Linked DNA regions of Oryzias latipes. The protein of the gene in region 2 interacts with the protein of the main gene of each other region in a pairwise test. Links are inferred from orthologs where the notes say so. Each region holds a gene or a part of one and is shown on either strand. Other genes may lie near its edges.

What was found.
Region 1: the proteins of poc5 (region 2) and cetn3 interact in binary tests that used the Homo sapiens proteins (3 or more experiments, as listed by UniProt). The link is inferred for Oryzias latipes from reciprocal best matches to the Homo sapiens genes POC5 and CETN3.

The regions. Positions count from the first base shown.
Region 1 is NC_019870.2:1,965,793-1,970,253, reverse strand, and holds cetn3 (centrin-3), read right to left. Parts: upstream 2,935-4,461; 5' UTR 2,786-2,934; coding exon 2,769-2,785; intron 2,069-2,768; coding exon 1,936-2,068; intron 1,865-1,935; coding exon 1,750-1,864; intron 1,680-1,749; coding exon 1,488-1,679; intron 370-1,487; coding exon 326-369; 3' UTR 92-325; downstream 1-91. UniProt on the Homo sapiens protein: Plays a fundamental role in microtubule-organizing center structure and function. As a component of the TREX-2 complex, involved in the export of mRNAs to the cytoplasm through the nuclear pores.
Region 2 is NC_019867.2:14,007,100-14,011,439, forward strand, and holds the start of poc5 (centrosomal protein POC5), read right to left. Parts: upstream 3,062-4,340; 5' UTR 3,059-3,061; coding exon 3,008-3,058; intron 1,886-3,007; coding exon 1,817-1,885; intron 1,790-1,816; exon of another isoform or gene 1,671-1,789; intron 1,017-1,670; coding exon 933-1,016; intron 1-932. UniProt on the Homo sapiens protein: Essential for the assembly of the distal half of centrioles, required for centriole elongation. Acts as a negative regulator of centriole elongation.

The DNA.
Region 1 (4,461 bases), on a different chromosome or scaffold from region 2:
CGTCACAGAGCGGCTGAGCTCCAGAGGAGCCACACTGAGGGTTTGTCGGGTTCTGAACCCGCGGCGGAAATTCTGAACTATTAGGAAGAACTTTGTTGGGGAAAACACTCTTTATTTTATGAAAAATAAATAAAACACTCACACAAACAGTTCAAAAGTCAAGATCGACTTAAATCTTGATCTTTACAGAAAGTCAGTCCAGTTTTTACTGTTGGAAAGTCTTCTCATGTCCAGCGGGATTCAGACTCACGGGCTCTGAGGGGGCGTCCACTGGCTCTGTGGAGAAACGTCTGGGTCCAGCTCAGAAGGCGTTCCGGGCTCCTCCTCAGGAGTCTGCGGTCATGATGGCGAGGAACTCCTCCTGGTTTACTGAGGAAACACCGGTCTGCTCAGACTCTCAAGGCCTGTTCACACCGGGACGAATTTCGTCGGCGAAACGCCTCGTGACTAAACAAAGGGCACCAACGAGAGTGTGCACACCGACGCGAAAAAACGCCATGCGTTAAAGCGTCAAAAAAAAAAAACGCCTCGGGTTCGTTTTTTTTTTTTCGACGCGTCGCATCGAAATCTATTCGACCAATGAGAATGGCGCTTTTGCTCACGTGTCTGGAGCTTCTGAAGTTACAGTAAAACACAACTTGGGGGCGCTCAAACACAAAACTGCCTTGCTGAGCACACATACCAGCGAAGAAGATAGACGCCAAGTAGCGTCTACACAGCCGCGAAGCAATAATGACGGACATTCTAAAATATCCCCGAACCAAGCACCAGTTGGAGCTACTGATGCTTGAAATATTAATGTTTTCTTTGTTTGATTCTGACAAGCGTGTAAATACTTGCTCTCTTCTTCTGAGTGAAAAGCGACTTTAAGAAGCGTAAAGTTGCGCAGCGCCACCTTGTGTACAGGAGTATTTCTGTTTACATTAAGCGCCATCTAATGTCAGGGAATGAAATTGCATGTTCGCTCGGCTCATCGTCAGCGAAAATCGCCTGGGTGTGAACACAAAAAACGTGGAGAAAAACGCTGGCGAATAACGCCTGGCGAATATTCGTCCCGGTGTGTACGGGCCTTCGGGTCGCTAAAACTCTGGAACAGGTCAGCTGAGGAAACCGTGAGGGGAGGAGCCGCGCTCTCCGCCCAATCACCGGCGACCTCGGAGCGGGAACGCCAGAACCTTCCTGCCATGGAGGTCAGAGAGCGATGGGATTTCTAAAGCAGGAGCCGCACCGGGAGAAGAGCGGTCCACCTACGATCAGGAGGTCGCAGGTTTATGCGTTGAAGTGACCTTGAGCGAGAGACTGAACCCCCACCTTGCCCCTCTGTTGTCATGGCAGCTCTGCCGCCTTCAGAGTGACCTTAAAACGCGTTAGACCTGCATAAGAGCTACATAAGTACAGGCTGTTGACCCTCATCTCCGCGGCAACGACAGAACACGTGTCATCCGGTGAAGGGGGCGTGGCTTTAACCTGAGCGAATGCAGACTTACTCTCTCCGTCTCTGTCGGTGTCGAACTCGTCGATCATGCTGCGCAGCTCTTCGTCGTTGATGTCCTCGCCGAGCTCTCGGGCGACCCTCCTCAGGTTCCTCAGGCTGATCCTCCCGGACTCGTCGTCGTCGAACAGCTTGAAGGCCTTCAGGACCTCCTCCTTCGGGTCCCGCTCCAGGATGCGGTCCGTCACTGCGGGCAGACGCGTTTCAGGGCGGCTCCTCGTCGCCTGGCTCTGAGGAAGAGGAGGCCAGTGACTCACCTACTTCACTGAAGTCCTCAAAGGTGATCTTCCTGTTCCCGTCTCTGTCGTAGTCCTTCAGGATCTTCAGGACGTCCATCTTCTTCACTTCAAAGCCCAGGGCGCGCATCGCCACCTGGTGGGACCGTGACAGATGACACCTTTGGTCTCGTTTCCACGGTTTCCATCCGATCCGCCGCCGCTCACCTTCAGCTCGTGATAATCGATCTGTCGGTCCTTGTCCGTGTCAAACAGGTCGAAGGCCTCCTTGACCTCGTGCTTCTGCTCCTCGGTGAGCTCCCTCCTCTTATTAGGCTTGTTTTTGTCGGCCTGGTCGGTTCTGCGGAGCAAAACCAGAGTCACAGATTCTCCCTGTGACCACAAACCAGAGCTTGAACCTCGCCGTTCAACCGTGAAGGATGGACGAAGACAAAAAAACAAGAGTTTGAACATCTTCATCAGTCAGGAACAGACATGAAGGCAGGAGAAGACTGACGGCAAACTCTGAGCCGAGAGAGAAACCTGCTTCAACCAACTCAGAGATCTCCGATCAGATTTGAGCCAATAAGAACCCAGACCCATTTAGTCTTATCGTAGTATTTGACCACAAACCACAGAATCCTATTTCTGATATTTTTCTGTCACATTGACGTCACAACAGGTTTATTTGGAGAACCTTTGACCAAATATGGTGGAAAAACAAACGTTATTTCAAAATAAAAGAACTCATTCCCCGAAACGAGCTTTTGGTCCCGGAAAGTCCAAATCAGGTGAAATATTATCTACCGAGGACAGAACCTGAGAGGTCACAGAATTTCGGTGCAACGTCTTCAGCCAAGCTCAGATTGATTCAGAGACAGCTCCACCGAACCGAACCCTTTGACAGACACACATTTGGACCGTTTGGACCGACGCAGCCCTTTGACCGAGTCTCCGGTCAACAAGCTCTGAATGTTTGAGGCAAACGGGCGACATGCTAACGTCGGCTAACAAGGCGAGAGAACCGGAAATGACGTCACCGTAAAAGCTGCGATCCTCACCTCAGAGACAGACTCATTGCGATCGAATTGCAGATCCAAACGCGAAGATTTCACTTCCAAGGAACGGCTACTGTCGCTCAACGAGCAAAAACAAACCCCGCGTGTCCGCGCTCAGATCCGAGGTCCTCATTGGTCGGTGGTCTCTAGGCAACAGCAAGGCGCTCGCTTAGTGGCGCTCTGTTTTTTTTTCTTCGGGAGCAAACTGAACCCAAGCGGGACACCAGCGCCCCCTGCTGTCGTCTGTCATTGCTACATCTGCTAATACTGACGCTGGAATCCTTTTCAAAGTCAAATAAAATGTAGAAAAACTTTAAATAGAAAATCAGTTTGTGATTCACAAAAGAATAATCCAGATAACTTTAAGACACATTCCGGCCATCTTTTGATCTATTTCCCTTCCTGTGGACAGTTTTACAGGACAGTTTCTGCAGATCCACAGGAGTTCATCAGAGGTTCTCCTCTGAGTTGTGGCCATTGGCACACAGTAAGCCTGTCTAATTTCCCATGATTCCTTTGTTTACACTCTTTCCTGCTATCTAACAGCCCCCCCCCCAACCCCCCCAACATTACTGGTGCAACAAAAATGGCAGCCTCATCAGATCCGTCCATTCGTCCAGTTCAGACTCCAGCTCAGACCAGGAAAACAGAGATGTTTATGGATCTATTTGTCTGACAGTGAATGCATCGGAATGGAGCGCAGCACGGAGCTTGTGGCACCGCCCAGCACATTTTTTTCTTTTTTAAACTGCATTTTTTTAGTCTGCTCCTGATTCACAACAAATGAAAATTTGCGCTTAATTTTCTTCATACATGGTCCTCCATCATCAAGAACATGTTAAAAACACCTAAATATTAGACTTTGTCCTCCAACAGTTCAGCACACCCTTTATTTGTTGTAACTTGTTACTCTGAACTGATGACAAGTTTTCCTCATAAACATTGGTCAACGGTCCTGTTATGTCTGATGTCTGTCTGTCAACATTAAAGGCATGTAACCCATAATGGTCCTGGCTTGTTGAACAGTCGTCCTTCTCTCTGGAATCCTGCCGGAGGTTTCTACCCTCTGGAAATGCTTGGAGCATTTCCCGAGGGTCTTTGTGCCCCCACCCCTGATTTGGGCTTTGTCTCAGTTTTATCAGGGATTTCCCATGGTGCTCCGGGATGAAGGTGCCGCCCGGTCTCGGCTCACGTCGGGGCGTTTCCTGTGTCACATGTGTCATCCTAGATAACGCCTGAGTGAAAAACCATGTCGCCTCAGGAGAGATTCAAGCTCAGCAGAGTCTAAGTCAGAAAAAAATACAAAAAAACAGGTGGTAACAACAACAACAGGCAGTAGTTTGTGACGGAATGAAAATAACAGCATAAAAAAAACTCCTCCTGATGAATTTCCTACTGGAGCCTCTGAAGTTTCACTGCGATGATTGACTGGAGGAGGATTCTGGAGGCAGAACATTCTCCTTTCTGTTCAGCTGAAGGAGGATCTGTGTTTGATTTCCAGCCAGCCCTCCTGTTTTTACCCCCCACCCCACCCCCAACTCAGTCTGAGAATTCATGGGGGGGGGGGGGCACAGGTATTTAGCCAGCGTCATAGAGGAGGCTTTCTAAAGAACCCAAAGGGATGTGTGCACGTGTGCAGGCGTGCACGTATACAGGTGTGCACATTTAGCAGTGGGGGGGGGGGGGGGTAAGGTTC
Region 2 (4,340 bases):
TCAATATTCTAGTGCCTTATTTAGGGGCAAGTTGTAATTATTTGCTGACTGAATATTTATATGTAAATAGTTCCTCCTGTAACTAAAACACTTAATAAAAAAAACTAAGGCTGCACGATATGAGGAAAACTTGCGAAATGCGATATAAGTGATCAATATGGTGATAACAATATAATTTGCGGTCTATAAACAAATAGAAAAATAACCAAAAACATTATTCCCATTTCATTGCAACAGTTTAAAAATTATACTCCAAATGACCCTCATCGACATCGGTGACAATCGTCTAACATATTAGGCCTCCATCTGATTGGTAAACAATGGGTAGGCGTCCATCTGATTGGTCAAAACATAAAGGGATTTATTTGATGGGTTAAATGCTTCAAGCTGCCATAAGATTGTTTTAACACATTTTGGGTTTACGATTTATTGCGATATTCACCGTCTTTCGCGATATGCATATTGCAGAGCTGGCTATTGCGATAACGATAAATTTGCGGTATATTGTGCAGGCCTAAAAAAAACCTTTATTAAGGCAACTTGTTTCTTTGCTTCAGCTTACACCAATGAATCCTCTGTAAAACTAAATAAATAAGTAAATAGATTTTTAGGTAAAACAAACAAAAATAAACAACTTGGAGTTGCAAAAAAGGACAAACAAATGCATCAGAGAAATGATAAGTCTTCTATCAAACAAAAACCCATGTACTCATTAGTATAACTTAGTAGCAGGACTTTATGTAACTGTGGCCTATGTGTCTGAACTCAAACATGGGAGTTCAACTGTTTTTGCCCCTTTTTTTTGGGCACAAAAATAAGCAATCTTGTGTAAGTGTGCAATAATACATGTTTAGGAAAGATTCAAACAAATGGGATCTTAACTAAACAATGGTGGGACTGTAATGAGTCATTTTATGATGCATTTTAGCCACCTGAAGCTCAGAAGACACAGAGCTGCCCCGGTCTGAGTCTTTGGGTAAAACAGGACTGGCTGGATCCTCTTCATCTGAAGACATCTGGGCAGCAGAAAAGCAACAGAGAATAACAAGAAAAGAATGAAACTTCTCATTAAAGCAGAAAAAAGCGAGATAAAAATCACCGATTCCCATAGATGAGATGTGATAAGCAATGTTAACTTCATAAATACATATAAAGATATTTTAACTTAAGCTCTTAAGACATGGCGTCCACATTGTGTGGGCATCACATATTACCAGAGTATCTTTCTATCTGCTTGACTGGGGTCCTGTGACTACGTGTGTAGAGGGTTAGCTCAATATAGCTCGAGTCAGTCTTAAGGTTAAACAAGATGTTTTCGAACATGATCGGCGCCAATTCGTATAATCCAGACTGAGGCTATAATAAACGTCACGAAATTAAAATTGGAGAAAAGTTACATGCTTATCAAAGTAAACAATTTTATTATGTCTGTTACGATAAAATTCAAATAAGGTAGTATTTTTGCAGCTTACTTAACTCAGTTGACCTTTCAATATTGTCAAGATTTATAATTGATCTAACAAACCCTGGCATAACGCTAAAGCATCCCAACTGTGTTAAGCTAATTCGACAACTGTGGGACACATTCACACAGCACCGGAGGACGTACATTATTTTATAGCAGCAGATTAAAAAAAATAGCAATAAAACTAAAGTCTACACAAACTTACTGTGTGCAAAAAAATCTTCGTAAAATTCCAATTTCCACCTACTCGGTTTCACGTTAGCAGCCAGTTGGAAAGTGCTGGCCTAGCCTTTTGAAATAGAGTGACACTCAAAGAACACGCCTGCTGATTGGTTTCTGTTGTGGACTCACCTTGTAACGTCGTTCATGGTTGGTCCAGTTGTTTCCATGGCAACGGAACTTTTGAAAAGACGCGTGTTCCTGTTGCAGTTAAAGGAAACCCAGCAAAACAAAATTTTAGTAAAAGTCCAATTTGAAACGAAGACTATAAATACATTTGTTTAAAACAGGACAAAATAAAATAAAAAAAATAATTAAAAACAAAATAAATAAAATAAAATAAAATAAAAGTAAGACTTTAGGTCTTTGACAATGTAATAATATTTTTTTTCAGGGTCTCCAGAACCTACAGAGCATATGTCCCTTTATTAATCCTGTGAACATTTCCGTTGTTTTTCATGTTATTCATTACCCATTCAAAGAAAACGAAAAGGCTTACAAATACAATTTAAGCCATTACCTGTACACACCTGTCAATGGTTTAAATCTGGAGTCTCAAACTCACAACCCATACACCAACCTTGCAACTTGCTATTAAAAAAAAAATCCGCCTTTTCTAGGTTTTGTCTTGTTTATTCTGTATTTTTTCATCACTTAAAAGTGTTTTGTAAATGAAATGATCCATGATCAATATCATGGCAGCAACAGCAAAAAAGTTGATTGTTTTAAAATTAGCCAAAGAAGTAGAGCTCTAATGCTGCAAGAATTACAGTTACTACAGTTGCTCTACATATATTGAATGTGTCATGTGGGACTAAAGTGTGGGAGATAAAGTCACAGAGATTAGGCAAGCGAAGAAAAAGTTGCAGCATCAAAGAGAATTATCTTATATTGATTATTGAGGTATTGTCTGCCCAAATAATTGTAAATAGGTATTTATACTATTTAAAGTTATTGAAATAGGAAAATGAGCAACAGTTCTGTCACAAAACTCTCCAGAGAAGTAGCTTTTTAATGGTTGAAGGGCTTCAATTTGATTTAAGAATCCATAGAATAAGAAGATCAGAACCTACCATTTGCCATTTTGGGTTTTACAATCTCTCTAATGAAAACATTTTTTTTGGACATACATGTCCTTTTTTTAACATTTAGAACAGTAATGTGGCAGAGGTGGCCACTGGCTCATTAGAAATAGAACCCCTTGTGGCACAGCAGTCCCAGCAGTTTGGCAGTGCTCTGACAGACTCTGGAGAGAAGAGACATATGGTCCTTCTCAGGCAAGACAGAGCTATGAGGAGGAGAAGAATTGGACATCAGCCTCACCACCTGGACTGAGTTCTTCCTTGTCCAAGGAGGTCCCATCAGCGCTGTCATGAGATCTACTTGCTGATTACAGAAACAGAGCAGTTAAAAGATGGTAATACAAAGTTTTTCATTAAAAATAGACAGTGTGGCAAAAAAGTATTTAGTCAGCCACCAATGGTGCAAGTTCTCCCACTTAAAAAGACGAGAGAGGCCTGTATATTCAATTATAGGTATACCTTACCTATTAGAGAAAAAAAACGAGAAAAAATGAAAAGAAAATCACACTGTCTGATTTTTAAAGAATTTATTTATAAATTATGGTGGAAAATAAGTATGTGGTCCCAAACAAGCATGATTACTGGCTCTTACAGACCTTTAAAAGTCTTCTGTGAGAGGCTCCTCTGTCCTCCACTCGTTACATGTATTAATGACACCTGTATAAACTCGTCATCTATGTAAGAGACACCTGTCCACAGCCTCAAACAGTCACACTCCAAACTCCACTATGACCAAAGAGCTAAAGACACCAGAAACCAAATTGTTGACCTGCACCAGGCTGGGAAGACTGAATCTGCAATAGGTAAGCAGCTTGGTGTGAAGAAATCAACTCTGGGAGCAATTATTAGGAAATAGAAGACATACAAGACCACTGATAATCTCCCTTCATCTGCGGCTCTCCGCAAGATCTCACCCTGTGGGGTCAAAATGATCACAAGAACAGTGAGCAAAAATCCCAGAACCACATGGGGGGACCTAGTGAATGACCTGCCGAGAGCTGGAACCATAGTAATAAAGGCTACCATCAGCAACACACTACGCTGCCAGGGACTCAAATCCTGCAGCACCAGACATGTCCCCCTGCTAAAGCCAGTACATGTGTACAGCCCGTCTAAAGTTGGCTACAGAGCATTTGAATGATCCAGAAGAGGATTGGGAGAATTAAACCAAAATTACCAAAAACCTTTTGGTAAGAACTCTATTTGTCGAGTTTGGAGGAGAAAGAATGCTGAGTTGCATCTAAAGAACACCATAACTACTTTAAAGCATGGGGGTGGTGCTTTGGGGTTGTTTTTCAGCAAAGGGACCAGGACGACTGATCAGTGTAAAGAAAAGAATGAATGGGACCATGTATGGTCAGATTTTGAGGGAAAGCCACTTTCCATCAGCAAGGTCATTGAAGATAAGACATGGCTGGATCTTTCAGAATGACAACAACTCCAAACACACTACCCGGGTAATGAAGGAATCGGTTTGATAGAAGCATTTCAAGGTCCTGCAGTAGCCTAGCCAGTGTCCAGATCTCTCCCCATAGAAAATATTTGGAGGGAGTTGAGAGTCTGTGTTGCACAGC